Linked DNA regions of Arabidopsis thaliana. The main gene of each other region encodes a partner of the protein of the gene in region 2 in a complex. Each region holds a gene or a part of one and is shown on either strand. Other genes may lie near its edges. The genes, in order: TIM23-2, TIM50, TIM17-3 and TIM17-2.

Region 1 (6,723 bases), 6.5 Mb from region 2:
TGTGGAAATTTCCATTCTTGTTTGTTTGTTTCACAAGACTGTTGAGTTGTTTGAGAAATAAACCCTCCAAAATTAGAAAAATTGTAAAACCACTAAAAGCTTCATCATCTCACAATACAATTTTCTGTTTCTTTTCATTGTTCATTGTTTCTTCTCTGAGGTTGCAAAGCCAGACAAAAGAAAAACAACACAATCGATCTTGGTTGTGGGTGTTTTGTGACAAAGAAGACATGAGATCATTTATGAGTATTATAGTTTCCTTGTGAAGCAGGTTATTCATGTTTCTTGGGAAGCAAGATTCTAACATGTCTGCAAGAAGAGTTAGAAGGACCTCGGAGGACTATGGCAGTATCACGGCGATCGCCATTGATAAGGACAAGAACAGCCAACACGCCTTGAAATGGGCCGTTGAAAATATTGTTGCTGATGCTCCACAATGTGTCCTTATCCACGTTCAACGTAAGCATCTCTCGCTCTTCTCTTCATCATTGAAACCAAAACGTCAAAGAGCCACCCTAATTAGGAGTATGTTTTGCAGTAGGAGACACAGGAGGACATTTTCATCAGGACAATCCGGACGAGGCACATGAATTCTTTCTTCCTTTCAGAGGATTCTGCGCTCGAAAAGGAGTTAGTATTAATCGATCATTTCCAATCTCCTTGCAACAACATTTCACACTTATAATGCATCAAATATGATCATGACATTCTTGTATATACACACTTTTCAGATCATAGCAAAAGAGGTTATTCTTCATGATATTGACATCTCCAATGCTATTGTCAACTACATCACCAACAATTATTACATTGCAAATCTTGTTGTTGGCGCATCTGCACGCAATTCCTTCCTTAAGTCTCTCTCCTCTTCTCTGTTTCATGCTTGGTATCATCTCAACTTTGGTTATACAAAATGCTAACATTCAATTTTTCTTTGTGATCAGAAAGTTTCAGAGTCCAGATGTACCAACCACTCTGCTTAAGACGACTCCAGAGACTTGTGCCGTCTTTGTTGTGACCAAAGGTAAGCTTTTAAAAAGCAGATCCGCGAGTCACCGTCATAAACTTTCCAGACAACAAAATCTCTCTTCTTTGTTGTACAACTCAACAAACTCCATTGACTCTGACAGGTAATCTCAACTCTCTTCTAACCATTGGCCATGGTTTTCTTTTCAACAGGATTTAGTGAAGTATGCCTTTTCATTTTGTTTACATTTTTTACAGCGCATCAATATCATCACCTGTATCTACACAAACCAACAAACCAAATTCAAATTTTTTCCAACCTAATTCACCTCGCATCTCAACACCGCAATCTATGAGTGAAATCTCTCAGTCAGAGACTGACAATGGAAGTTGTGATATGGTATCAACTGTGAGTTCTTACACCGTCTCTGATAGTTCCACTACCATCGGAAGCTCGATCTCTTCAACTTCCACGGTTAGTAGTATATCGTCACTTTCTTATAAATGTTCAGTTTCTCAGTGTTCTGACATTTCCTTCTTGGTTTTCATACTGATGCACAGGAAAGTCCACTTGTCGGAAATTACGTGGAACAACAGGTAAAGCTTTTCAGGAACATAAATTTGGTCCTGGATTTGCAGAATGTCAACATGATTTGATATGGTCTATCCTTTTTGACAGAATCAAAATCTTGAAGCAGAGGTGAGGAGACTGAGACTGGAATTGAAGCAGTTTAACAAGGACAAAGACACTACAAACCAAAAAGAAAACGTAAGATACTGTTATCTTCCATGTTGATGACAATTGTTGTGAATAATAATCATTAGATATTACATTATGTAGTCCCAAGAAACCCCATGGTCAGATGAAAAAATAGAGCTGCCTAGAGCATTGTCTGATAGGGAAACGCAGAAAACGCAGTCTGCTGCATTCCAAGCAGCTGAAATAGCAAAGCGCATAGCGAAAATGGAGAGCCAAAAGAGAAGATTACTTGAGATGCAAGCCAATTTGGACAAACAGATGATGTTCACAACGGTTTCTTACAGACGTTATAGTATCAAAGATGTTGAAGATGCAACCTATGGTTTTTCTGATGCTCTAAAGATTGGGGAAGGAGGTTATGGACCTGTTTACAAAGCTGTCCTCGATTACACTTCTGTCGCCATTAAAATCTTGAAGTCGGGTATCACAGAGGGACTGAAACAGTTCCAACAAGAGGTACTGTGTTAGTTTATATTGCTCTCCTTATTTTGCTTCTCCTTCTCCTGACTCATACATATGTTTCTTCAATAGATTGAGGTTCTTAGTAGCATGAGGCACCCTAATATGGTAATCCTTCTCGGTGCATGTCCCGAGTATGGTTGTCTTGTATATGAGTATATGGAAAATGGAACACTCGAAGATCGCCTCTTCTGCAAAAACAACACACCCCCACTTTCATGGAGAGCAAGGTTCAGAATCGCTTCTGAGATTGCCACAGGTCTTCTTTTCCTTCACCAGGCAAAACCTGAGCCCCTAGTTCACCGTGATCTGAAGCCAGCAAACATTCTACTCGATAAACATCTCACTTGCAAAATCAGTGATGTCGGTCTAGCTCGCTTGGTACCTCCTGCTGTGGCTGATACCTACAGTAACTATCACATGACTTCTGCAGCCGGTAAGTCTTAACATCTCTTTTCGATGTCTTAACATCGAACCAATGTTGATGTATGTTTCCCATTTTGACGTGTACGGGAACAGGTACATTTTGTTACATTGACCCTGAGTATCAGCAAACCGGAATGCTTGGAGTGAAATCTGACCTCTATTCTTTTGGTGTGGTGCTACTGCAAATCATAACAGCCCAACCAGCAATGGGGTTAGGCCATAAAGTAGAGATGGCGGTTGAAAATAATAATCTGAGAGAAATTTTGGATCCAACAGTATCAGAATGGCCTGAAGAAGAGACTCTGGAGTTGGCTAAATTGGCTTTACAATGTTGTGAACTGAGGAAAAAGGACAGACCTGATCTTGCCTTAGTTCTGTTACCAGCTCTGAACAGGCTTAAAGAGTTTGCAACAGAGGATCATGAACGTATTCAGGATAGAACATCTCATGTGTCACATGAACACAATTCAGTTCCGCTTTCCCCGATTCCTTCCTCTCAGGTTAGTTTCTTAGAACCATTCTTTTTAAGGGATATTAGCTGCAAATAGAAATTTAGGGTTTTAGATCAAGCAGAATCATGTTTTATTAAGTAGGTGAAAAATGTTTACTGCAGAACTTTCTCAGTTCATGAATAATTTCTGTGCCATGTAGATAGAGGATGAATTGAGAAAATCATATTGAGTATTGATAAAAACATGGAAATTCGACGTAGATCAACCAGAAGCTGAAAATGGCAGTACCTGAGATCCACGACTATCTTGATCCTTCTAAGACCCGTAACCATCCTATACCTAGAAGGAGTCGACCTCCAAGATCACATACAAGCAAGTACAAAGGCAACGGTTGGTCTTTTATGAGTTGTGCTCCTTCCAGAGTTCAGTGGGGTGATCTCCCATAGCGTGTGGGGAGTTCCCTTATCTTTGTATATGAAACATTCTTTTAGTTTTGTTCATGTAAAATTCTACACTTTAAAGAAGACTTGTTTATTGATGTAAAGACCCTCATTCGAATGAAGAAATCAGACGAAATGTCATTTTGCAGGTACATGATCTTCTGAAACAAAACAAAAATTCTAAGCAAGCTGCAAAACTGAAAGTTTAAGGCTTTAATAAAAAGATTAGAGGACACTATTTGTTCTTCATTTAGAGCAGCTGATAAGGTCTAGAGACGGTAAGAGTTTAGAGAAGGTTTGCTACACAATATGCCTGAGACTTGAGAACCAAAAACCACAAAACCAAAAGTGACTGATCCATCATCATAAGCTTGTGAAATCTTGGAGACAAAATTAATAGCTAAGAGCAGAGAACAGTCCAGAGAAATAGAACCAGGGGGATATAATAGGTAACAAAATAACACCATCAAATATCAGGTTAGTACTCAATGAGATAAACAGAGGTATACAATTATGTGAACACACTACACCATCCCAATTAACAAAATGATAAGAAAAAACTTGAGAGAAGAGCTTCATTTTCAAATGTAATACAACACATCAGTTTCTCAACGAATCAAGAAAGAGTTAACATTGATCAAAAACAGAAACATAAAACACTAACTAGAACAAACACACTCATGACAAATTAAATTACCAATCGGCAAAACATTTAATCAGTATGAATATAAGAAAAAGGTTTGCAGGTTATTCTTCAAAGTGAAACTGCATTATGACTTGACATACAGACTTGTTGTACCTCTAGAAACCAAATAAAGTTTTCATTTTTATGATTCCAAGACATACCAAACCTATCAAATTCTCACCATTTCCCCTATCAAAAATTTCAACAACGACCCGAAAAAGAGTCTGCCAATTAGACTCTTGCAGTCTTCAAATGGGCACATACCGCTTCACAATTTGCTTCCCAGCTACAACAGCTCCAGCCGCAAGTCCACCAAGAGCACCAGCTACAGCTGCAGATCTCACTCCTCTCGCCGCTCTACAAACAGCTCCGGTTCCAAGACCAGCCACCACACTGGTCCAAACATCATCTCTATCCGTGGCAGCCACAATACCACTCTCGATCCCTGCGTAAACCAATCCAATGATACCAATCCGATTACCCCAAGTTCGACCAGTTTGACCAGAAGAGTTCAAGATCCTGTTGATTTTGAGCTTAGTAGTGTCGCCAGATTCGAAGCTTTTGACTCCAGTGATGACTCCAACAGAAGCTCCGGCAACGGAGCCACCGAGGTAAGCTGTTCCGGTGTAGAAAGTGAGATTCTCACCCCAAGATCTACGTTGCCTTAAAGCCTCCTCCGTGAAGAGAAACTCAGGGGAGGTAGGAAGCTTGTAAAGGTACTGAGATTTGTTGATTGGGACTTCGTAGTTTTGGTAAGGATTGTAAAGTCTTGTGTTTTCGTCTGACCCATGATCGGATCTGTTATTAGCCGCCATCGATGGAAGAGAAAAGTCTAGGTTTTAAGGATTTTGGTGGTGGCTAGAGAGAGAGAGACGACGGAGAGGAAAGAGAGAGAGAGAAACGTGTGATGATGTGGTTGTGTTGTGTCTCTCTGAATGTTTGGTTTGGTTGCCGAAATGAGAAATGAAACCAAACTAAACTAAAAATCTATGTTTAGGGTTTTTAGGGAAAGACTCAGTCCAGTTGTTTCCAGATACGCGCAGTACCAGATTCGCTTAATACTCGCGTTTACGTTTATTTCGAACTTAACCCCATTTATTTTATTTTCTCTATTTAAACCCAAGTTGGTTTTCTCTTACCACCACACACTGTATTTGCTGATATTTCGAATGTGACCCCATAAGTTTAATTTTTACAAAATTAACCTCTTCAACATTGGACTTTTCAAAGTCATACTTAATTACTTTGCAAAATTGCAATCCATCGTGACAACCAAACATCCTCGAATTTTCAGGTGTTTCTCTTATAATGTCAGAAATATTTTTACGACGAACGAACCTAATTTTATGAATTTTTTTTGTCATCAGTTTTTATTTAGAGAACTAAACTTCAAATAAAATAATTAAGGATTCAAATACAAAGCTTATTTGTTTTTAATTTAAGTCAAAAGGCCAAAAAAAAAAATTCGATTTAATTTCGAGAGCGTAAATAGAAGACAAAATAAAAAGCATAAATTCGGAAGTAAATAATCGAAAAAGTTTTGCAAACTGGAAACCTCCTCCCGCAGTCACACAACTGCGCAGAGCCAAAAATAAACGAAACCTCCGGCGAAAGCTACGGCGAAGAGACTGCGTCTAACTCCGTTTACACGCCGATTGTCTTGGAGAGAGAGAGAGAGCACGAGGTAAATCACGCAAGGGTTAGATGGGAAACCAGAAACTAAAGTGGACGGCGGAGGAAGAGGAGGCGTTACTCGCCGGAATCAGAAAGCACGGTCCTGGAAAGTGGAAGAATATTCTCCGGGATCCAGAATTCGCTGATCAGCTCATCCATCGCTCCAACATTGACCTAAAGGTTTCTCTTTTCTTCACTCACCTCTTTAAAATCACTCTCGTTGAACCATATATTAAACCTAGACATCGAATTTGAGACCAACCCGGAGTGCATTATGTACTCTGTCGTATCTGCTTAGTTTAAGATCCATAAAAAATCAAAACTTTTGGCAATAGGTTTTATTAGTGTTGCCTCTTATCATTGGTTATAGGATTAGAGATTCCTTGGATAGATTATAAGTTTTTTTTTTTATTGATTCAAGTGTGCAATACCTAAAGCTAGCTTGGTTGAGTTGGAGATTTGAGGTGGAAAGAGTAGTACTGTCCTTCATTTTGCTATGGATTTCTTTTACTTGGTGGTAGTCTTATGAAGAAGAGTTTGAAAATTTTGTGTGTTTCAATACTTAATAGGATAAGTGGCGTAACTTGAGTGTTCCCCCTGGTACTCAAAGTTTAACTAATAAGGCACGGCCAGCAAAAGTCAAAGAGGAAGGCGACACTCCGGCTGCAGATGCAAATGATGCTGTCACTATTCCACGGCCTATTCCTACTATTCCACCTCCTCCCGGTCGGCGTACTTTACCTTCTGAGTTGATCCCTGATGAAAATACAAAGAATGCTCCTAGGTTTGTCTTTCTTTGTTCTCTATTTCTCATACTTGAGGCCAGAAAGTATGATGAGAGACTAGTTCCATAAATGCTAG
Region 2 (8,365 bases):
GACAAAAACCCTTTAAATTACCAGAATTCAGAGAGAAGCTTGACGCGCCATTTTCGTCTAGTCATAATCGGCTGAACCTGATTAGCTACTTTCTCCAGAATCTTCCTCGCTTCATCTTCTCTAGGTTTCCTCTTCAAAGCCTTTATTTCCCAGACCTTGTTCAAATCTTCCAAATTCGCCGAACTCATCACAATTTCACAGATGCCCACCTTCAAATATCTCAAAATTCGATTCAAAAACCCAAACAATTCTGACCTTCCCGATCTTCGATGCAACAAAAAAGGGATTTTGAAATGTGAAGCATAATTTGGTCTACCAGAGAGTGGCGGGACAAACGCACCATTATTCATGTAAGCCAATAACAACACCTACACGCCCACTATAAGCCCACTTCAAGCCCAATCCACAGGCCCATCTATATTAAGTACCGCTTAGATAAACCGTGCTTGTCCAAATCGAACAAGAAAGAAACCTCTCTTATTGGTGTGTTATCTTTGATGCTACAAAAGTACAAAGTACATTACAAAACGAGGATTGCTACATGCTATAAACATACAAAAATCAACAAGCTTTCTTTGCAAACCAGAAAAATCTAATCAGTATTTTGGGACAATTGTAGTGTTTTTCAAGTGTCCCATATCATAACAATGGCAATGACAACAACTCCAAACAACACAGCCAAAAACTTATAACGAGGCTCATCAACATGAACTTTCTTGTTTGGTCGATACCCTTTTGCCAACAAATGGTTCACAGATACATACACAAATACCCCACACGCCAAGCTCATCGACAATGCGAATATCCAATCCGCGATGGACCCTTGAGTCGTTGCATCGATGACTATCCCGATGGCAACACCAATTGGGCTCGAGATGGCGAATGCGAAAGAATAAGTGATTGAGGAGAATAAAGGACGGTCAGGGATCATACGGAGAAGAGCTATCCCCATTGCAATCGCTGCAAATATCTTATGGAGTGTTATTGTCCAGAGAGCTCTCCAAGCATCTGATTTAGTCTCTGAAATACCAATAGCTATGCCTTCGAAGACAGAGTGAAAACAGAGAGCTACGATCAATAGAATGCTATCTCCAATCGAAGTTTCAGTTGTTGCTGACCTCTGATTCGATTTGTCTTCTCCTGAAACGAAATAAAGCACAAAACTTTCAACACAACATAATTCTAATTCTTGATTGAGATTCACAAGTTCGAAACTTTTGGTACCTTGAAGCTCCAAATCGTTTTGGGTCTTTGAGTAGATATGAGCGATGACAGAATCAGCAAGCATGGTCAACATAAAACCAGCACAAGCCAACATATAAGCAAATGGGTAAGCCGGAGATGGCTCCGACTCTCCTTCCGCCGTCAACAAACCACGAAACGTCTCATCAGCGTCCGACAAGAAATGCATCAAGGCGGTTGCAAGAAACACGCCTCCGGCGAATTGTGTACCAAGAACCAAAAACCCTTGGCTCCATTTCAAGAAATAAGGAGATACACCGCTTATGAACGTGAGGACAAAGATGATGACAAGACATGCGATCTTGACGGAGATTAAGGATTTGGATTTGAGATCGGAACTCTTAACGTGCGAAGCCTCATCGTCGTCGTGGTCTCCTCCGGTTCCATGGGAGAGACAAGGGACGACCAAGACAAGAAAGAGGAAGAAGAAGACAAGAGAACGAGACATTTGAATGTTCAGTGGGTTTGTGTGTCTGAAATTCGAAGTTAAGCGATATGTCGTGTAATATATAAGTGGTGTTTAAGAGTCGTACTTTAAAGTCATGGAGTTTTGTTTTGTACTACAATAAATTTATGGTTTTTGGTTGGTTGATTACGACACATTGAAAAGGATTACGGGTGAAGGAGCTTTGTAAGTGGTTGTTAGACTTGGACCCTCTTTATGAATTCAAATTTAGGAAAAAGTACAATTATTTGGTTCAGATTAACAAGAAAAATCTGTAATTGATTTACCTAATTGTAAACCTGATATTGCACCTTAAGACACGCATTGAAACAGACAGATAAATATTAAGCGTACTAGAAAAGGTAATTTACTCTTTTTTTTAGCAATACATACAAATTGACGTTTCAACCAATAATTTCTCAAAGTTCATAATCATAAATCATTTGTCAAACCAAGTAAAAATAAATCAGAGAAAAAAAACGGTATTTGTTAGTCAACGAAAAATGAACCTTCCATATGATAATTTCTTTTTCGTTCTCATAGAAATTTTCTATGTAAAGCAGAGAGAAAGACGAGGAAAATTGGGTAACATAAAAACTCTTTGATGACAAAGACAGTATTTTAATTCGGATTTTACCTAATAAATCCATAGCGAAGAACGGTAGCTCATGTTCCTATTTTATGGTGTGCACCATCAATGATGATATAATTGTCTCTCGCTCTATACATAAATCTTAGATCCTTTAACGCCTCCAGAATCGACCTTGTCCCAGTTGTCCTTGCTTTCGCCTGCATAGAGATATGACACTCTTAGTGGGACACTACCAACAGATTTTGCATTGATACGATAGGGTAAAAAAAAAGCTCTGATCGACTCACTTTTGATACTCTATGGACCTGTCAATGAACTCTTTGGCAATATCTTTTCTCTCAAAAGAGGCCAGAACCGGTCTGATGTCTGCTGGACTGTTACGTGCAACATCTGCATAACCCAAACAGGAAGATCAACCAAACAAAATTGATACAGGCAGTTCACGGACTGGAACAGAACTTATCCCTCAGTTCACCAATACTTACATTCAAGGAAGGGTATCAGGTCAACTAGGGCTGTGTCATCAGCTTCTAGTTTGTAAGGCTTGATTGGCACGCTATTTTCTGGCTGAAGGGTTGATTCAAAGGCATTTGCGCTAACAAACAGAATCTTCTTCGGATCTCTGTTCAGCTTTGACAGATCCTGCAGCAGGAATTTTAATAGTTAGTTGAGAAACAGTTACTCGGGCAAGTCAGAAAGTATGCTTTGACAAGATAAGCTAGCTGCTTACGTACCCTATAGTGCTTTCCATTTTCATATTTAGTAGCGCCTCTTGCTAGCTTATAACGTATGTAGCCATTTGGGTCTAATTTCTCACAGACCGGGAGTACATACTACAAGTAATGAAACAAGCGTTAGTAGTCGCATTACTATGATATTACAAGCAAAAAAGGAGAAAAAAGAAAAACCAATTGGGACTTTACCATCTCCATCTGGTCAGAATACACGACAATCTCATAGAATTTCCCAAGATGCTCCAAGAATGCATCGACACCTGGTCTTTTGAATGTCCTCCACCCTCTTTCCCGCTAGACATTTTTGTAAATGAAAAGGCAGGAAAAGTTAAATACAGCACTACTTAAGAAAACAAAGTAGTTCACCAGAACTGCTTTGTTTCATAACATAGATACTCTGAGTCACATATTCACATCTATGATGCAAGTATTTTGATGATCAGTAAATAAATGAAATGTTACCTTCCAGTCAGTGTAAAGCAGTGTCTCATTTAAATCAAGAACTAGAGTGAAGACATGCTGTTCTGCGGGGTGCAGATCCGGAAGAAGCTTTTCCGAGAGAGGTTCCGTGAAGCCCTATAAGGAACCAGACAAAAAATAAGAATTCTAGAAGAAAAAAGAAGATGCAAGAAAAAGAAAAGTTGTGTCTCGGTGAAAGGACGTACTTTCACTTGTTCCTCCACAATTTCCCTAAGCTCTAAATACTTATCAATGGCTCTAGCAGAACCTGATCAAAATTCAAGCAAACCAACTCATGCTATGCTTAATTAAAGACATACTATTAGTTATGATGACAGAGGCGCAAGAACTATACCTGTCATTGCAGCAGAGTACAACTTAGTCTGATATTTCTGCAGAAAGATGAGTATAAAGGGTATTAATTCAGAGAAGCTTATAAACAATACCTTGAAGCAGAGAAACATGGCAGCACGCATTTGAAAGCCAGAGACTAAAGAAAGTCAACTAATACAGAAGCAAGTTATGATCAACATTAATTTGACAGCGACTCAAGGCTACCAAGCTTACTCACATCAATCACATCAATGCCAGAAGATTTAATAACTGGTGTCTTCGTAGCTGATTCTCGGAACGCCTTAGTCTTTTCATTCACTTCATCTATCGTGTAAGCTGCATAACGAAACAAACAAGTATAATCAGAACTAAAAAGAGTCAACATAACGAAGAAAGACACAGTTCTACCAAGTGAAGAACACTGAATTCAAAAGACTGATATGTGAAAATGTAATGCAATGCCACGATTAAGCAAACCATAACACATTTTTACTCGCATTTCACAGCAAAAACAACTTTGTACTAGAAATCTACGAGAGGGAAAAAAGATAATTCATGAATGCAAGTACATACCAAAACTTGCGTAACCAGTAGCAGCGGTAGCACCAGTGAGTGCCCAGAGGAGTGCGTAACCAAGATACTTAAGACCTTTCCTCTCCTTTCCCGTCGCAGCCGCGGCAGCAGCTTCCACTTGAGGAGGAGGAGGAGGTGGCGGCTGATTTGGCGGTGGAAAATCAGAAAACATCGACTGGGTAGAGGTGACTCCCGAATACCTAGATGTAGAATTCGTCGAAGATGCTTCCGCAGAGAAACATCTCAGATTACGAGATCTGAGCTTTGCTAATCTTGGCAACAGGCGAGATCGAAGAACAATAGACGCCATTTCCGATTTCGGCGTTTTCTTCAAACTCTGTGAATGATGAATGAATCGCAGGGTTGAAGTAGGGTTTTGGAATTGATCGGAGAAAAGGAAAATTAACAGATGGACTGTTTGGAAACAGGTTTTATGGGCTCGTTTTAACTCTCTTATCCACTGTTTGGTAGTCGGTTTATTTCTACTCCGATATTTTTCTATTTTTTTTGCTGTTTTTTTTACTTGTTTACCAAGAAGAGAATCTATTTTATTTTATTTTTGCATTTCGGGCTTTTAATAACTAATTAATGAAGTTATTTTACACTATTTATTTACCAAATAAAATGAAAATATTTTTCCAACAAAAATAATAAATTCATTCGTGTCAAAAAGAGAAAACAAATAACCAAAATTTATTAAATTTGTAGGGTTTCTTCTGCCTAAACCTCGACTACATGCTGTTTTTTGCACCAGTGAAATAAGCGAAACTACATAGAAAGAAACAAGTCTTACTTCCACAGAGGAAAGTTTAGAGAAGTAGAAAAGCCACAAAGCAACACCAGCAAATACATATAGCTTAAGCTGCTCAGACACAATTCAACGAGACACTTAGTGAGAGAGTAGCAAATGACTTACTCTTCCTGGGACGGCAAATTTAGCTTCAACTTTAAGAAATCATTGGTCTTTGCAATCTTCACAATCTCCTCAGCTTCTTCTCTCTTAGACCCTTTCACCAATTCATCAACTAACTGCTGCAACGTTGTTTGACCGACAAGATACCGCTTACTGAATGTCTCCTTGAAGAGCTCAATCGCAGACTCAAAGTCACCTGCTTTACACATAGCAGGAAGCAATAAAGCAAAGGTAGCTTTATCAGGACGATAACCATGCTTCACAATTTCTTTGTACCACGCTTCAGCTTCGTCCATTTTTCCTTCGTTGATAGATCCTCTAATCATAGCATTGAAACTGAAAACATCAGGTTTGAGCCCACTAGCCTTAAGTTCTCCAAAGAGATTTACTAGCTCTTTCGATTTCGCCTCATTGGCTAATCCAAGCAGCCTAGCATTGTAAGTCCTGATGTCTATTGCTACATTCTTCTCCACCATTTTAGCCCATATCTCTTCCCCTAGCTCAAACTGTCCCTTTAGATACGAAGACAGTAAAAGTGTGTTGAATGTAACTATATCAGGTTTTAGTCCCTTGTTCTCAATCTCATCAAGCAATGCAACAGCTTCAGGTAAAGAATCCTTCTCACACAATGCCTTAATCAAAGTATTGTAAGATACAATATCTGGTTTGATTGATAACTTTCCAGGTAACTCATTGAAAAGTTCTTCAACCACATCGAATTTCTTGGAAAGTCTATATGCACTAAGCAAGGCATTGAAGGACAACACTGACCTCTTGCAGTCTCTGTTTGGCATTTCTTCGAACACCTTCTGTGCATTTTCAAACATGCCGGCTTTTCCATACAGAGAAATGATCCTCGCCGCGAATCCCTCTTTTGACATGTCGCGGTACTTCTTCTGCTCCTCCAAAATCTCTTCGACATAGTGTAATCTCTTTGCGGCTACGAGACGGCGCACGGTTCTATCGTACACGGCTATGTTGGTCCGGAACCGCTCCGACTCACATGCCTTCTTGAATTTCTCCACGATCCGTTTGGGGTTTCGTTCGCCATTCACGAGACTGGTTAGTGACTTTTGAGGAGGCGAGATTGCGGCAGTGACTGCGGTGGGTTCGGAGACTACGGTGGCGGCGGAGGAAAAACGGCGGATCGGGCAAGTGTTGAAGGTGCCACGGAGAACGCGAGATAGAGACGACATCGTTTTGGGAGTGAGAGCAAAGGGTTTCAGCCTTCAGGAGACGAGTTTAAGAACAAATCAAATGAAGGACGCATCTGATAATTTAAAAAATGTTAGTGCCTTATTTTTAACTAAAGGAAATATTGGGGGCTAGAATAACAAATAATAGAAATAGTGTTGTTTTGCCGACGACCTAATTTTACTTCACCGGTTTGATTACGGGAGAAGGCGAGCTTGAGCTTCAATGGCGCCTGTTAATATGACTGGCGCTGTTGTTGCAGCAGCGGCGTTGTTGATGCTTACTTCTTACAGCTTCTTTTTCCGTCTCTCCGAGAAGAAGAAGAGGAAGGAGAAGTTGACTATGAGAAACGGGCTTGTTGATGCCATTGGCAATACTCCTCTGATTCGTATCAATAGTCTCTCTGAGGCTACTGGATGTGAGGTTTTTCTCGATGTTCTTTTGCTATTTTCTGTTTGGTCTGACGAACTGATAGTGTGATTTATGAGTTAAAGATGTAATTTTCATTCTACTTGTTTCGTCTGGTGATCAGATTCTTGGGAAATGCGAGTTTTTGAATCCAGGAGGTAGTGTTAAAGATAGAGTTGCTGTCAAGATCATTCAAGAGGTACACTATGATTAGCATTGTAAAGGTTTCAACTTTTAAAAGTTTTTTGATCATCATAAACCTCTCTTAACAATGTCAGTGATTGAATCATCAGCTTGGCTATTTATATTAGTGGTTTTTGAAATCGAGAAGCAAGTCCATTATGTTTTTTTTGTTTCTCTGTTTAGGCTTTGGAATCTGGTAAGCTATTCCCTGGAGGAATTGTAACTGAGGGTAGTGCAGGAAGTACTGCCATTAGCCTTGCTACAGTTGCTCCGGCTTATGGGTGTAAATGTCATGTTGTTATACCTGATGATGCTGCTATTGAAAAGGTTATATCTTTTAAATACCTTGATGATGATTCAAATTCCCTTGTATGCATTATTGTACATACACTCAAATTTGTATCGTGTTGGACTTATTTTAGTCTCAAATAATTGAAGCCCTTGGAGCTTCTGTTGAGAGAGTGAGGCCAGTGTCAATAACTCACAAGGATCACTATGTCAACATTGCGAGGCGACGGGCTGACGAAGCAAACGAGTTAGCATCAAAGAGAAGACTAGGGAGCGAAACAAATGGCATACACCAGGAGAAAACTAATGGTTGCACGGTTGAGGAAGTGAAAGAGCCTTCCTTATTCTCAGATTCAGTTACCGGTGGCTTCTTTGCAGATCAATTTGAAAACTTGGCAAATTATAGGGCTCATTATGAAGGTACTGGCCCTGAAATCTGGCACCAGACTCAGGGTAATATTGACGCCTTTGTTGCTGCTGCGGGTACAGGCGGGACTTTAGCTGGTGTTTCAAGGTTTCTTCAGGTATAATTACTCAGGGCTTATACTAATCAAAGATGTAAGAATGAGTAATTCGTGGATGTTATAAGCAAAAGAAAAACTCATAACTTGTTGGTGCATTTATACAGGATAAGAATGAAAGAGTTAAATGTTTTCTGATTGATCCTCCTGGATCTGGTCTGTACAATAAAGTAACACGGGGAGTGATGTACACAAGAGAAGAAGCTGAAGGGCGTCGGCTAAAGAACCCATTTGATACAATAACAGAAGGGATCGGAATCAACAGGCTTACTAAAAACTTCCTGATGGCAAAACTTGACGGTGGTTTTCGTGGGACTGATAAAGAAGCGGTTGAGATGTCGAGGTAGTGCTCATTCCTTTATATGTTTTGACATAACTGTTTTAGAGAGTACTGATAAAGATTTCGTAAAAGTTGGATCTTGATATCTTTCTCACTATATTATGTTCCCAGGTTTCTTCTGAAGAATGATGGGCTCTTTG
Region 3 (7,082 bases), on a different chromosome or scaffold from region 2:
GCGTCGAACCTGCCACGTGCAAAGGATCTTGTCAAGTTTGCAGAGAGCAGCATGTACAGCCCTGTGTACAGAAACTACCGTTAAAAAAGTTTTGTTGAAGAAACCTGCAGATTATACTATTCACAACCCTTGATAGTTTCTTAAGGCTTGTATTTAAGTTTTTTGTTTGTTTGTTTGTTGTTTGTTTTCTCTTCTACATTATGATGCTGTTTGTGAACTCTCTCTCTGTCTTTGCTGATAAATAATAAATTGTTACTAATATAATCTACAAATCATTATTGTCTCAAAGTTACACTTTCCATCCCACATCACAAAATCGATCAACTTGTCTTGGAAGGGAATAATATGCTTTTTTCTGCCACTTGTTGTATCTTATTGGTTGTTTTATTAAAATGGTATAATTGTTGCAGAATTAAAGAACTTGTATCATTATTTTGAAGAGTTTATCAAAAGTTTCATATAGATAATAGGACTATAGAAGCATAGCTGAATACTCTTTTGAAAGTGGTTTCTAAATTGTACTGAGCAAAATGTTCTAAAAACAACAAAACTCCTAATCTTAAGCTAATGATTTTGGCATTTTAGGTAACTACTTGTTATAAATAGCTAAAACAATAACAAGAATCTCTAAAACTCGTCTTCACGTTTTGGTTAAAATCGAAAGCTCAAACAATCCAAACCAAAACTAAACCGAAACAAGATGTCAAAAAAATAAATAAACACCTAAACCGAAACCAAAGTTAAAACAACTGAAAATGGGCTGAACGGTCCCTTTAATCTGAGATGTAATAAGGCCCAAATAGTAACTGTAGATGGGGACAATTGTAACGAAATCAAATTGCGGGCGAAAATCGAACTAAAGAAATAAGTAGAGGGACGAATAAAATGGTTAGAAGGTTTTAAGAATAAACCGCGTCGCGTCTCTTTTCTGGAAAAAACGAGAAACTGTGATCTTGGCCCTTTTATTACCCCTATCCTCTTCTTCTTCAATCTCTCCGATCAAAATCCTTTTAAGCTCTGTAGACCCAGGTATGTTCCTTCAGCTTTTCTATTCGCGAGAAAATTACGAGTAAAGGATTGCTTGAAATTGAACTTGGATCGTTCTGTTACTGCTTTCTTATTGCTATCAGATTTTGATTCTCTAAGGAATTAGATATTTTCTTTGTTGATTGATTTGTTTTGAACACGTATTATTAATCCTAGTCTTTGTTTCTACATTATAGGAACGTTTCGATTTGAATTAGCTAAAAACCTCAATTTTATTTGCTCTTTTGCATATCTGAAATTGGAAGCTGATGATATGTGGATGTTAATTGGCTCTAGTTACTTGGATCTGTGAATAATTATTTGCTAATTTGGAGCATGTTCCTTTGAATTATCTTCTGATTGTCTAAGTATATTTGGAAATGTGTTTATATTCTCATTTGTGTGATCAGGTTACGCAGAGAAGAAGAACAGAACAAGGAATTATATAATCATTGGCTTGATCAATCTGAATTGCAGTTCATGGCGCTAAACCCTCAATTACTACCCAATGGGATGCCTGTTCCCTTTGTTAATGAAATGTTCGTCCTAGTCCGAGATGGTGTTGAGTTTGAAGTCGACAAGATCCCTGGGTTCGTGTTCCCTTCTCTCGTCACGCATGTTTTGGATCTCCTTAAGTGGTTTATTGATTTGATGATTATTGTTGGTCTCCATTTTAGTACCGTTTTGAGTCGGTTTAGATCCACTCATCTAGCATATGAACCATTAAGTTTACTTGTAAATAAGATAAGTCTCAGAAGTGAACAGACATATGAGCTCTGGGCTTTAAACACTTCCCTGATGTTCTTTCTTGTTGTATGATCCAGAGGGCATGGAGGTCATGTTAAGGCCAAGGGGGTGATTTACTTGTCTAATATACGGATGGTCTTTGTTTCAAGCAAGCCTGTTGACAACTTTGTTGCTTTTGACATGCCCCTGGTACAGTAACTTTATCTTATTTTTGTCTCTGATTTAGTTAATACATGGCACAAGTGTAGCTCTGTTAAATTTGGTTATGGAACTACATGCTACATATTAGCTTATGGATTATATGTTACTCTGTAGCTTTACATCCATGCCGAGAAATTTAATCAGCCAATATTTCACTGCAACAATATTGCTGGACAAGTGGAGCCTGTAAGTACAAACTTTCATGGAGAATTTATAGTTTCTTTCCTTGTAAGGAAACTATACATATTTACTTATTGGCATGTAACAAAATTTCCAGGTGGTGCCAGAAAATGAGCATAGAGCTCTATATTCAACACACAGTTTCAAGATCCTATTTAAGGAAGGTGGTTGTGGGACATTTGTTCCTCTCTTCTTGAATCTCATATCATCAGTGAGACAATACAACAGACAAATGCAACAAGCAGCAGAAGCAGCAGCGGCAGCTCCTCATGTTGATCCTCTTCAAGCCGCTCAGACACCTGTGGACGAAATGATGAGACATGCGTAAGTCCCATCAGAAATCAATCGGAAAGTTTTTTGATAGTAGTAAAAGCTGTTGTTCCTCATAAAATCTTGTGTGGTCGTCATTGTGTATGTGCAGGTACGTGGACCCTAATGATCCAACGAGGATATATCTGCAACAGCCATCAGGGGAATCTCAGTTGAGGCGTAGAGCTTACCATTCGGGTGCGGCGGAACATTGAGATACACGGAAAAAAAAAATACAAAGGCTATGAATACAGAAACAGCAACAGATTAGTGTTGCTAATAAGCAAAACGTGTTGTTTGTTTGTTTAAAGTTGAAAACTAAAAGTCTAAAACCATCTGTGTAAAGAAAGATGAGACTTGTTTGGTGTGTGGATGTATCTGGTAAAATTGGAGTCGTAATAATCATAAGTTTGGTTCATATATTGAACAAAATGTGGGTCGAAAACCCTGCCGGTTCGCCTGAACCATGAAAAGTCGGATTTGGCTGATCCGCACGCTCAATTTTCTTCAGCTAAATCGCGAATACTTGAGCTTGTAGTAAGTCGTGGCCACTAGTGGGACACACAAAACCACAAAACATATATTTTGCAAGCTAAAACCCAATGGACTAAGATTTGAGGTTCAGGGTTGGACCATAAAATTTGGAATGGATAATCGGATACTTTAGGTTGGGTTGGTAGTTTTCAATATTGAAATTGGGTTTTTGGACCTTTCCTTAGTTTTTGATTTAAAACAAAATTGTAAAAGAAAATGAAAATACGAAGGTGGCATTCTAGCTTTATTTTCCAGAGAAAGTGGCTTTCCAGCCATTTATTAAAAAAAACAAAGACCAGGGTGTTTTTTTTCTGACAAAACAAATTGTAACACTCACTAGGCATAGCATTCTAGTTAGTTCTGCAGAAATTTATAGCGACACTGGTCCAAATTAGGAGGAGCGAGAGCGAAGGTACGAGTGAGGATTTACAATTGTCGATCGTTTTCACCTAGAAACCCTAATTTCGGGGGCTCGCACGCCCTCTCTGATTAGAAGCGACTTCATTATCGGTCACTAGAATCTGCTGCTTCTTTTCTGGTTAGTGTTTAACCAAGCTCCGTTTTGTTTGCTCTTAATGGAATCAGAATTTCTATCATTCCTAGATTAGTTTCTGTGATGTATATCTCTGGTATTCGGATTCTTGTGCTGAGCTCAATTCATAAGCGGAGGATTTCTTAGCTTCGATAATTAGCCCTTTTCAAAATTTGCAGCTTTTTATGCGGTTTGTTCTTAAGATGATTGGTTCATTCAGTTTTGTTGTGAGATCTCTGACCTTCCTCTGTAGAAACTAGCATTGTCAGGAACATGGACACTAAGAAGAAATCTAAGGAACATGGCCTATACCGTATAGTCAATGCTATCGGTTATGCATTTGGAGCGGGAGCTGTTGGAGGTTCTGTATATCATTTCGTGAGAGGGGCATACAATTCCCCAATAGGTGCTCGATATGTTGGAGGAACACAAGCGGCTAGCATGAATGCTCCTCGCTTGGGAGGCACTTTTGCTGTATTTGGAGGATTGCTCTCAACATTTGACTATGCATTGGTGCGCATCAGGAAGAAGGAAGATCCATGGAACTCCATCGTAGCGGGTGCTGCTACAGGTGGAGTTCTGTCTATCCGAAAAGGGGTTGTTGCAGCTTCAACATCAGCGGTTATGTTTGGTTTTTTTTTGGCTGTACTCAACCCTCCGTTCGGGAGCAAGTAAGCTTTTTGGGTTGTCTTTGATGAGAATGTCATTTAGACTTTCATGATAATTGCCTTTTCGTTATCAATTCTTCAAAATTACTGTTTCATGGAAAGTTTAACAGATTTCGTGGTTGAGAATTTCTGATCATTTTTGTATAAACGTCATCAAGAACTAATTATTGCTATTCAAGTGTTCCTTTTTGAATAGTTTCTTTTAAGTAGATGAAATCTCAGGGGAAAAACATTTGGGAAGGGGAAGATGAGGGAATGAGTCAAAGATATTATTGAGCTCGACAGTCAAAAGTTAAATTATTCCCTGATTTTGATCATTCTGAAAAAAACTCCTTAGTTAAGTCCCAACTAGTGCACACACCAAATCAAGAACCAAATCCATTTCTTGTCAATAATATACACCAAAAAACAACTCAGGTGTACTGAGGCAGATATAATAAGCACAGCCTCAAGTAGATAGATCATCATTCTGGTTTCTCACTTATTTACATACAACCTTTGAAGGAGGATCTTCACCAGTCACCAACACGACCATATCCACTCAAAACCAAAACCGAGAGCCCCAAGAAACCCAAACAGGATCTTTAGATTACATGTTTTTGTCCCTAATTATATCCCTCAAATAAACTTTTTTTCTTTTAACAATCAGAGTTCCTTCTCTTTTGTATCCTAATTCTATTCACCTGGAGTAATAGAATTACAAGAAGAGAAACAAAAGAACAAAAAAAACAAACTGAAATCCCCACTCCAAACTTGGGGCAGGACTGTTTTTAGTTGTTCTGAGAAAAATTACCTGACAAGACTTTGTCACGACTGCCAAAACAGCTCATAATCCTTACTATACAACGAGCGGTCTTGTATCTCCAGGTTTGCTACATGTCGATTTATGAGCTGCGATTGCATTATCTTACACACGACCAGTCCTGCTGGGAATATCCACCATTCACTTTCACCCCTGCATCCCCCAAAAAGGTACAGACATCACAAACCCAACAAACAAAACATAAGATTGTCACAGAGAAAGGTACAACTTTGCATAGTAGTAAAACTCACATGTTTATATTCCACGGCTGAAATGGGATTTTCTTGCTAGCTGATGATTCACTATGATAATGAACATATCCGCAGAGAAAAGCCACAAACTGTCACAGAACCAAAACTCGTCAGATAATGTGAGACATGCAGCATGTTCTAAAGAATCAACACCCATAATGTCCACAGATATAACTATTATATTCATCCTCATGTGAACTGAACCACATTGCATTTCTCCACATAACAAGTTGTCAACAAAGAAAACTTACCACATTGACTAAGGACATGAAGTTCCACAATGCGTAAACACGTGCTAAGCCAGCAGAGCGTCTGGGTCCATGACTGAATAAGGCATTAATCCCAGCGGGGAATGGCAGAAGCAAGCCGAGAGGTAATATAAACAAAGCCAAAAGTACATCCAGCAAAGAAATCGAATACAGCTGGAGGAGTGTGAGCAAGACTAGACTAAAATCTCCTAAAAGTAACATCGAGATAACTAAGCCAACCATATCCTGCAATACCAAAGACGATAACAGAGGGAAGAGACATTAAAATTCTAGAAAAGTTGAACGTCACAACATTTAAGAATACATTCATACCATAAAGATTTTGATTGGGTTCGTACCTGGTGGCCCACAGGTTTTGTGTTGTGAACTAAGAAAGAGAGAAGGAAAAACATATCTCTCTTCTCTTTCAGACTCGGTAAGCTGTCAAGGTCGATTATCCCTCCATAGTTCTTTCTGCGTGTCGTATAATCCTCGGTGTTTGAGTGGGGTTGGTTGAAGAGCCTACTCTCTCTCAAATGTGGTGGAGAATTTTCTTTATGTGCATTCACGCCATAACTAGAAGTTACAAAACCAAGACATCAAAAAGCAGCATAACTAGATACGAAGTGCACTACGAAAACATGATAAACAGTGACATCACAAAAGAAATCTTAAATTTCTAGAGTGATCAAGAAAGAATTGTGATCATCTTGTTTATCTAGATTTCTCAGTTCATATTTTCTATTCAACCTAAACCAGCATAGCACATACAGAAGAAAGAATGGTATCATGACTATTGTTACCACGAAATGGACATTAAGATAGAATAGATAGACAGACTGCATGCAATTTCTCATTCATTTACCGTGGCTGGATTTCAGTCCATGTTGTTTCACTGACACACTGAGGTGATGTTGGTTCACAATCCTCAACAGTATGAATCAAGAGACCATATTGGCAGTAACCACAAGCTGTAGTCTGGAACCAGGCCAGATCAACCCGTATGCCATGTGTTTCCAGAGCGGGATTAGCATGAGTTTCTAACCATCTCAGAACAGAATGAAATGTTGATCTCAGACGCCCACGGCGAACAAGACGTAATTGAGCATTTACACCAGCCACCAGTCTATACCAAGTAGTAGGCGAACCAAGCTGAGAAAGTAAAACAATGAGAAAGAATCGATACAACCTTTCATTTAACTGCTGAAACTGCTTCTCGTTAACTAAGGAACCAACCTGACTCATCAGACTGGTAAGAATGTTGTCATTTTGAAGTGAGAAAGGAGCCATGTAACTGCCATCACCACCAAACAATATGGGCATTGGAAACCTTTGGTGAAGTCGAGGTGGAAGGTCTGTCCTTTTTTCATCCCCACCAAGGAAGAAATCCAGATACGCAAGCATCAAATCGGAGGTTGCAGCGACCTATATTAAAATAAATATATATATATATATATATACTAAACCTTACACCAACAAATCCTTGTAAACGGAATTAGATATTCTCAAAATGTGTAGTCCTGTTACCTTCAGACCCTCGTATAAAGCTCGGGAGCGACAGGAGCGTAAACAGGAGTGATCATA
Region 4 (7,543 bases), on a different chromosome or scaffold from region 2:
ATTTCATAGCTCGATTTTGTTCATACTTTCTCAACAGCCTCTATTTGTGATACTATAGAAGTGTTCTTCTTCTCCAGATCAGAGGAGGCTTTCTTTTGTAGCATTTCAGATAACTCCTTCAAGGCTGCTATTCCTGAAGTATAAGTGTCTGATGTTTTCCCAATTCTTGATTCCAGATCGCGTGTTGCCTGCGTGAGTAAATCAACCACTAGTGTGATCAACTGGTTCAAAGCAAAAAGTGAATTGACATAAGTATGGTCTTTTTTCTACATCATATTTGTGAGCAAGAAATGAGTGGGTATGTTCTTCCATAGTTCTTAATTGTTGCTGTTGCTGAGAGACTGATCCAAGAACTGTTCTGTGCAAATCTTTAAGGTTTTGATCAAGTTGTGATCCAAATTTCAGAAGCATGCTCTGGTTATCGGATTCCAGCTTGTCTTTTTGGTCTGCAGAAACAAGAAAAATCAGCACATGACAGATCTTATTTTCACCCTTAGAAATAGGAAAGAAGAAGTACCCAATCTTGTGAACAACGAATTTATATCGTTTGACGCATGCTGCAGATCACAACGTAACCCCTTTGCACGGTCGATCAAAGAAGTCTCTGTTCAAGAAAAATATGAGTAAGCAACAAACCCAAGAAATCGGAAGCATGTAAAGAAAAAGTATTGAGTAAGAACTGTTACCTGAAGCTTTCATTCTGGAGACGATGACTTCCTTTTCCTTTAACTTTGAAACAACTTGGATATAATTCTCTTTGAGATCTAGCAAGTCCTTGTTACTATTGTGCAGGTTTCTCTGGATCATGAATGTTTGAAATTTCAAGAAAACTCTCACTAAAAGGATGAATAATCTGGATACTAAGTCACGGAAGTTCTAATCACCTTGCAGTCCTTAAGGTCACTTTCAACGTCCAGTAACTTCTCTTTCTCAGTCTCATAAAGGTCACAGAACTTGGAAACCTCCTGCATAAAAGAAGCCTCTTAAGTTCCAATGGGAGAAAATTAATTTAGTTTCTAACGTACAGATACACTTTAATGTTAAGAGATAATGTGAGGCAGACGTACACTTTCACTGAGATTTAGTTCATTCTCCAACTGTTCTATCCTCTCAATTCTCGCCTGAAACAAAGTGATCATTAAGCCCAGCATAAAATGAATATACACTTAAGTGTCTTCTTTTGAATCTACCTTCTTTTCAACTTCTTCTTGTGTATATCTTTCATGTGCAATGTAAACACCATTCTTATCCCTTGCTGCTCTTACATCTGCATTGATTGTTTAACAATTTTAACTAATCCAATAGCTCATTTGATAATATACATAAGAAAATCTGGAGAATATAGAACAGAATGTTGTGTTCATACCTTCTTTCATTCTCTCAAGCTCCAAGTAAAGATCTTTAAGCAACACAGCCTTGGATAACTTCTGGTTTGCCTGCAGAGACACGTCTAGTTAGAAGGATAGAAATTAAGGGTACATTGATAAATAAAGATGAGATATGGTAGCATAAACAAAACCTCAGGTTTGTTCTTGATGTTCTTGGCACGATAGGCATAATCCAAAGTACTTAAAGTTTCCTCTAGGGAATGAGCAGATGGAGAGATTGTAGCAATGATACAAGTTTTTGTCTTTCCTCCTAGAGAGTCCCGTAAAAGCCTTGTCAGCTTACTATCCCTGCAACCACAAGTATGCTTTCAAAAAACACAAATATTACCACAGTAGACATATATAGTTGTAGGACAAGGCAAGTACCTGTAAGGTACATGAGAAGAATGTTCCACAAGGGCATTAATCACACGGCCTAGTGTAAGCAAACTCTTGTTAATCTCTCCTGCTTCTCGTGCACGGCCATCTCGAGCTCCTGACCGTAAGATATTCTCAGATCCTGCTAGATCCACAAGGTTAAGCTTCCCACATTTGATTAACTCTTCATCTCCCATAGACTCTTCCTTTATATGGACAGTGATAGTAAACACTGAATGAGATCGACTACTTCTCTTATTCAACAAAGTATCAGCTGTACGCCTTTTAGATGAACCTCGTTCAAGAAGAGCATATATATCATTAGCACTGTACACAACTTCTTCTTCAAGACCTCTTAAAACCACAGAACCCTTCCCATCCTCCATCAAAGAAATGGGCTTCCTCTGCTTATCCTCAGAAGATCTTGAGGAATCATCTTGAGCTAACAAATCCGTAACTTCCTCATTGTAAAGCTCCAAGAATGTTACTTTCATACTGTAATCAGCATTTTGCGCCTCAAGAGTATCGAAAATATGTCTAACAGCTCTGGGAATCACCCCAGCCTCCGCAGGTAAATCCCCTCCCTTTTTCCTCATTCCACCTTCCATAGTGTAAGTCTTCCCAGTTCCTGTTTGTCCATAAGCAAACACAGTACAGCTAAAACCTTCCAAGACTTCATGAACAATAGGTGCAATAGCTTGATCATATATAGACCGTTGTTGTGACTTAGGACCAAAAACCTATAGAATAAACACCATCAGAGACCCTTGAATACAAAACCATCAAGTAGAGAAAGAGACCAACCAACCTTGTCGAAATTGAAAAGACGGTCTACTTGCTTATTAGCAATAGTATGAAGAACATTGACTTCTCTTCTCATTTCATTACAAGAGATGACTCTAGGAACACTAGATTTCTGCTCTTCTTCACTTAATGGTTTGCATCGTAGAATCACTTGAACATTGACTTCTTTATTATCTCTATCGAGACGGTTAGAGAAAGAATCAGGTCGTCTTCTCTCGAGACGAGGAGTTAGAAACGGTGCAGGTGATGGAATCACTCCTACTCCACTTTTCCTTGATACCACCTCTGGCGTAAACGACATCTTCGATTTCTGTGAAATCAAATTCAAATTCCCTAATCAATTGAGAAAGGTTGGATCAGAATCCCAGAGATTCGAATTCTAAATAAGATTCACTTACAGGAAACAGAGCCGAATCCTGGAGATCGAAAGAGAGACTTCTTTTCAAGTTTGAGAGAGAATTTGAAGAACAAAAAAAGATTAGGGTAAGTAACCGTTGGGAGTGGAAGCAGATCCAAATTCGAATTACTAGAGAGCTCAACACTACCTTTAATTTCAAAAGTTTTTTTAAAAGTCGCAAATATCTTCTTCTTTTTTGTCTCAGTATTCATATATTGCTAGATTATTTATTTACAGGTATTATGATATTAAATATTTCAGTCAAAAAATTGTTCCAATAATCCAACAACTTTATGATTTGTAAACATGGAAAAAAGGGAAAAAAAAAAAAGGAATTGTAAATCTACTACTTTCTGATTTTATTCTTAAATAAACACTTTTGCCAATACAATCATATATATGTGAGATGGATTTACTACTTCTTTTTTTTTGGGGAAAGAATTTGGAATCAGCACTATTGGAGATGGATAAATTAAAAAAATGATCATTAGCTCATTATTATCATTGATTTGACAAAATTAGAGAGAAAGAAAAGAAAACACAAAAGAATTTGTAATTGAATATGAGAGTATTTAATTCAGTCTCCAACTGTTCTATGTGTGATTAATCCAAATGTTGTAACTTGTGAAGACCAATATATATTAACAATCTGTATACATTATACACTAACGTACCGTTGTAAGAGAGTTAATGACATTCTTGCATTATAAAGGAGCTTTTAAGCGTGAGTTCAAGACGGGTAAACAGACAACAACATCCTTTAATCTTTTCTTAGTCTATGGGCTACTCCAAACTTGGGCTACTCCAAACTTGGGCTACTCCAAATTGGGCTTCTCTACTTTAAATCTTCTACTAACTATTTGGGCTTTTATTAATAGGTTTAATTACTTTCTCTCTCAGGTCTTTCTTTTAACTAGTTTGGGCAATTGAAAAAACTTTTGGCTCCTTTTTTAAATTTTACTGAACGAAATTATCCTAAAACAATAAAAAATAAAGCAACCATATTCGAAAAGAAAAGAAAAATGAGCGATGCCGGCAAAAAAGAGAGGGAAATTAAAAAAAAAAAAAAAAAACGCAACAGTGTCGGAAAAATAAAGCTGACAAAAAATTAAACGCAAAATAGTTTGGTCGCTGTAACTTTTTTGTTTATTTTTTTCTAGCCAACCCTAATAAACCCTGACGCCGTTTCTTCTTTTACCTTCCTTCTCTCGCTCACCGTCGCACCTCCTTCATTTTTTCTCTCTCTCTCAAACTCGTCTCTAAAACTCGTCCGTCGATTAATTCCTCGTTAGTCTCAGGTATGCTTCTTCGATTCTCATCTATCATCAACAACAGTGCTTTCTCAATTCTCTTAGATTCATTTCTATACACAAAGTTTCCACCTTTTTCTATGGTTTGCTTTCGATCGTAAAGTACGGATCTTTGATAAACCCTAATCTTCTTCGTTCGATTGTATATGTTCAGTATTTAATTGGAATTAGTCAGAGATCTATTTGTTGATTTCGCAGTGACTTACAAAACCCTAAATTTCTTACTATTTGTTAATGAATCAATATTCATTTGATTACAGGTTTGATAGAATCATTGCCTGAGGCATCTAATAATGGGAACACCAGAGACATCTCGGGAGCCTTGCCCTGATCGTATACTCGATGATATCGGTGGTGCTTTTGGTATGGGAGCTGTTGGAGGATCTGCCTTTCATTTCATTAAAGGGACTTACAATTCTCCTAAAGGTAGTCGCTTTGTTGGAGGAACACAATCGGTGAGCATGAACGCACCTCGTACTGGAGGCAGTTTTGCTGTTTGGGGAGGTTTATTCTCGACATTTGACTGTACCATGGTGTACCTAAGGCAAAAGGAGGATCCTTGGAACTCTATCATTGCTGGTGCTGCAACTGGAGGGTTTCTGTCTATGCGGCAAGGGGCTGGTGCTGCTTCGAGATCAGCTATTTTTGGAGGGGTTTTGCTTGCTTTGATTGAAGGAGCTGGGATCATGTTGAACAAGGTACTGGCTCAGCCTCAGAATATGATGATGGAGGACCCTGGAATGCAAGGAATGCCTGGGATGCAGGGAATGCAGGGAATGCCTGGGATGCCCGGAATGCAAGGAATGCCTGGGATGCAAGGAATGCAGATGGGGCAGATGCAGAGTCAAGCACAGATAAGGTCAGAGAGTCAAAACCAGAATACAGCTTCATCATCATCATCATCATCATGGTTTGGAGGGCTTTTTGATAAGAAAAAGGAGGAGGTGCAACCAGGCAGTGAAAGTAAAACAGAGGTGTTGGAGAGTTTTGATGCTCCTCCGGTGCCATCATTTGAGTTCAAGTAAGCTTTGTGGACATCTATTTCTCTGTCATCCAATGGTTTACCTACTGCCTCAACTATCAATTCCATTTCGTCGTCTTTTTGTCTATCCTAAGTTCTCAGCTGAATTCTTCTTGTTCATGGAAGAATCAGCATGCTATGTTCTCTCTCTTTTCACTTATGGTTATGTTTCAATGAGCTTATGCACTCAATCTAGGAATATTCTCTTTGTGAAACCATTCCACAGATATTGTTGGTTCTTAAATAATGTAGTTATAGATTTTAACAATATTCGCCAGTGGAAAATGTTTGAGCATTGGAAATGAATCCCTTGGTCCAATATCTTAGCCCATCCACACAACTCAAACACAGCAATTATATTGTAGTCACAGCAAGTACTTCAAAACTTCAGAAAAAGATCAATCAGAGTGGTTTGTGAAATCTTCAGACTGATCAGAAGATGAACAGTTCTAACAACAATCATATATCCTTAGCAGTACTGATTCATGATAATTGTTGTGCTTGTTACTTCTTAGTAAGTAGGATCACAAAAGCTTGGTCACACCAACAATATTCGGATTAAGGAAAGAGATCAGCGTTTTGATTTGTGATATTTACATTTCCTCTTCTAGTCTTGGGCTTATAAAGGCCCAAATTCAGGGACCAAAAACGACGCCGTAACTTGAATCATATTCGAACTCGAAGGCTCCTTTTGATGCTTCTTCTTCCTCAAATCTCACTGTAGGGTTTTTAGGGGTTTTCTCTCTCTTTGCAATCATGGAGTCTCTAGGGAAGCTACAGCTTCATCAGCAACCAAATCACCTCTCTTTCACTCATTTCTCTTCATCTTTCCCCAAAAAGCCTTCGTCTTTCTCTCTCAGATCCTTACCCAGATCAACATCATCCTTCAAATGCATTTCAATCAAAGCTTCCTCATCCAAGTCTCAAGACTCGAAGCTCTCAATCCTCAAATCCACATGCGTCAGCTTCACTGCGGCAGCAGCACTGTTCCTTGTGAATCTCCAGCTCAAACCTTCACCGGCGATTGCGGCTCCTGTGGCGGCGACGCCGTTAATGGAATCTCTCAAACAAAGTAACGGAAACGTTTCATTTGAAGAAGAAGAGAGATCACTCGAAGAGTATCTTGCTTCTCACCCTGATGATGTTGAAGCTCTACGATCTTTAATGGAGGTAAGGATCAAATCTCGAAAGCTTCTAGAAGCTATAGAATTGATTGATAGGTTGATTGAATTGGAACCAGAGGAGAAGGAATGGCCAATGTTGAAAGCTAATATCTTTAGTTACAGTGGAGATTTAGAGTCTGCTAAAACTGGTTTTGAAGAGATTCTAGTCAAAGATCCGCTTCGTGTCGAGGCTTATCACGGTTTAGTTATGGCTTATTCTGATTCTGGTGATGATTTGAATGCTGTGGAGAAGAGAATTGAGGAGGCAATGGTTAGGTGCAAGAAGGAGAAGAATCGTAAGGACTTGAGAGATTTTAAGCTACTAGTGGCGCAAATTCGGGTTATTGAAGGGAAGCATAATGAAGCATTGAAGTTGTATGAGGAGCTTGTGAAGGAAGAGCCGAGAGATTTCAGGCCGTATCTATGTCAAGGGATTATATACACAGTGTTGAAGAAGGAGAATGAGGCGGAGAAACAGTTTGAGAAGTTTAGGAGACTTGTCCCGAAGAATCATCCTTATAGAGAGTATTTTATGGATAATATGGTTGCTTCGAAGCTCTTTGCCGAGAAGGTACAGCGAGAGATGGCTGAATGATTGTCTTACGAAATGCTAGTCGTGCTTGAATGTGGTTTTTTTTGTCTCTTTTCTGTTGCTAATGGTTTTAGATGGTTGTAGTATGTAGGTTGAGCTTGAATTTATGTCGTGATCGTGTGTTGTAGTACGGATCGAATACTCAATATGGGAATCTTGAATTGCTTGCACTGTTTTTTGAGATGTGTATGTATACATCACGACTCACGAGTCATTGTCCCAACTCACCTTAAAACATCATTTCAAAAGCACCAAGCTGTCTTGTTTTCTCTTGCTTGGTTTGCTGAAAATGGTTGAAGTCGTGTTGGAGTGCTTCTGACCAAGCCTTGGATACATTGAAAACAGAGTTGAATTTTGGAGGCATATAATTAAACTAACAAGACACCAGTATATGATTTTACAACGCTTGTTCTTGTTGTCTTGCAGCTGGAGCTAAGAGCTCTAGAAAAGAGTAAACAAATAACTGGAATTAAGAAAGAGTTTTAGTATATGTCAATGGACTCGCAAGCAA

What was found.
Region 1: TIM50 (region 2) and TIM23-2 share a complex: the UniProt entries of both Arabidopsis thaliana proteins name them as parts of the TIM17:23 complex.
Region 3: TIM50 (region 2) and TIM17-3 share a complex: the UniProt entries of both Arabidopsis thaliana proteins name them as parts of the TIM17:23 complex.
Region 4: TIM50 (region 2) and TIM17-2 share a complex: the UniProt entries of both Arabidopsis thaliana proteins name them as parts of the TIM17:23 complex.

What each region holds. Positions count from the first base shown.
Region 1 is NC_003070.9:27,381,857-27,388,579, reverse strand, and holds TIM23-2 (translocase inner membrane subunit 23-2), read right to left. Parts: upstream 5,216-6,723; 5' UTR 5,025-5,215; coding exon of another isoform or gene 5,004-5,024; coding exon 4,437-5,003; 3' UTR 4,056-4,436; downstream 1-4,055. Other genes in the region: AT1G72760 (Protein kinase superfamily protein), read left to right, coding at 279-459, 539-630, 732-856, 945-1,130, 1,225-1,441, 1,528-1,563, 1,646-1,735, 1,808-2,182 and 3 more; AT1G72755 (uncharacterized protein), read left to right, coding at 4,762-4,799, 4,997-5,024; AT1G72740 (Homeodomain-like/winged-helix DNA-binding family protein), read left to right, coding at 5,893-6,042, 6,432-6,646. UniProt on the Arabidopsis thaliana protein: Essential component of the TIM17:23 complex, a complex that mediates the translocation of transit peptide-containing proteins across the mitochondrial inner membrane. Links the inner and outer membranes.
Region 2 is NC_003070.9:20,899,486-20,907,850, reverse strand, and holds TIM50 (Haloacid dehalogenase-like hydrolase (HAD) superfamily protein), read right to left. Parts: upstream 4,786-8,365; 5' UTR 4,689-4,785; coding exon 4,379-4,688; intron 4,142-4,378; coding exon 4,044-4,141; intron 3,865-4,043; coding exon 3,828-3,864; intron 3,741-3,827; coding exon 3,679-3,740; intron 3,590-3,678; coding exon 3,476-3,589; intron 3,308-3,475; coding exon 3,203-3,307; intron 3,113-3,202; coding exon 3,014-3,112; intron 2,922-3,013; coding exon 2,765-2,921; intron 2,670-2,764; coding exon 2,567-2,669; intron 2,477-2,566; coding exon 2,431-2,476; 3' UTR 1,998-2,430; downstream 1-1,997. Other genes in the region: AT1G55915 (zinc ion binding protein), read right to left, coding at 22-350; ZIP11 (zinc transporter 11 precursor), read right to left, coding at 626-1,140, 1,225-1,690; AT1G55890 (Tetratricopeptide repeat (TPR)-like superfamily protein), read right to left, coding at 5,291-6,487; AT1G55880 (Pyridoxal-5'-phosphate-dependent enzyme family protein), read left to right, coding at 6,711-6,908, 7,018-7,092, 7,260-7,403, 7,499-7,888, 7,993-8,228, 8,337-8,365. UniProt on the Arabidopsis thaliana protein: Essential component of the TIM17:23 complex, a complex that mediates the translocation of transit peptide-containing proteins across the mitochondrial inner membrane.
Region 3 is NC_003076.8:3,757,957-3,765,038, forward strand, and holds TIM17-3 (translocase inner membrane subunit 17-3), read left to right. Parts: upstream 1-3,231; 5' UTR 3,232-3,535; intron 3,536-3,782; 5' UTR 3,783-3,802; coding exon 3,803-4,204; 3' UTR 4,205-4,390; downstream 4,391-7,082. Other genes in the region: NADP-ME2 (NADP-malic enzyme 2), read left to right, coding at 1-84; AT5G11680 (classical AGP protein), read left to right, coding at 1,507-1,616, 1,851-1,962, 2,089-2,160, 2,252-2,478, 2,576-2,678; AT5G11700 (ephrin type-B receptor), read right to left, coding at 5,005-5,152, 5,251-5,339, 5,502-5,744, 5,858-6,074, 6,364-6,650, 6,735-6,923, 7,026-7,082. UniProt on the Arabidopsis thaliana protein: Essential component of the TIM17:23 complex, a complex that mediates the translocation of transit peptide-containing proteins across the mitochondrial inner membrane. Links the inner and outer membranes.
Region 4 is NC_003071.7:15,695,857-15,703,399, reverse strand, and holds TIM17-2 (translocase inner membrane subunit 17-2), read left to right. Parts: upstream 1-4,045; 5' UTR 4,046-4,244; intron 4,245-4,516; 5' UTR 4,517-4,549; coding exon 4,550-5,281; 3' UTR 5,282-5,590; downstream 5,591-7,543. Other genes in the region: AT2G37420 (ATP binding microtubule motor family protein), read right to left, coding at 27-188, 271-446, 518-604, 687-798, 885-965, 1,068-1,121, 1,191-1,267, 1,367-1,436 and 3 more; AT2G37400 (Tetratricopeptide repeat (TPR)-like superfamily protein), read left to right, coding at 6,034-7,035. UniProt on the Arabidopsis thaliana protein: Essential component of the TIM17:23 complex, a complex that mediates the translocation of transit peptide-containing proteins across the mitochondrial inner membrane. Links the inner and outer membranes.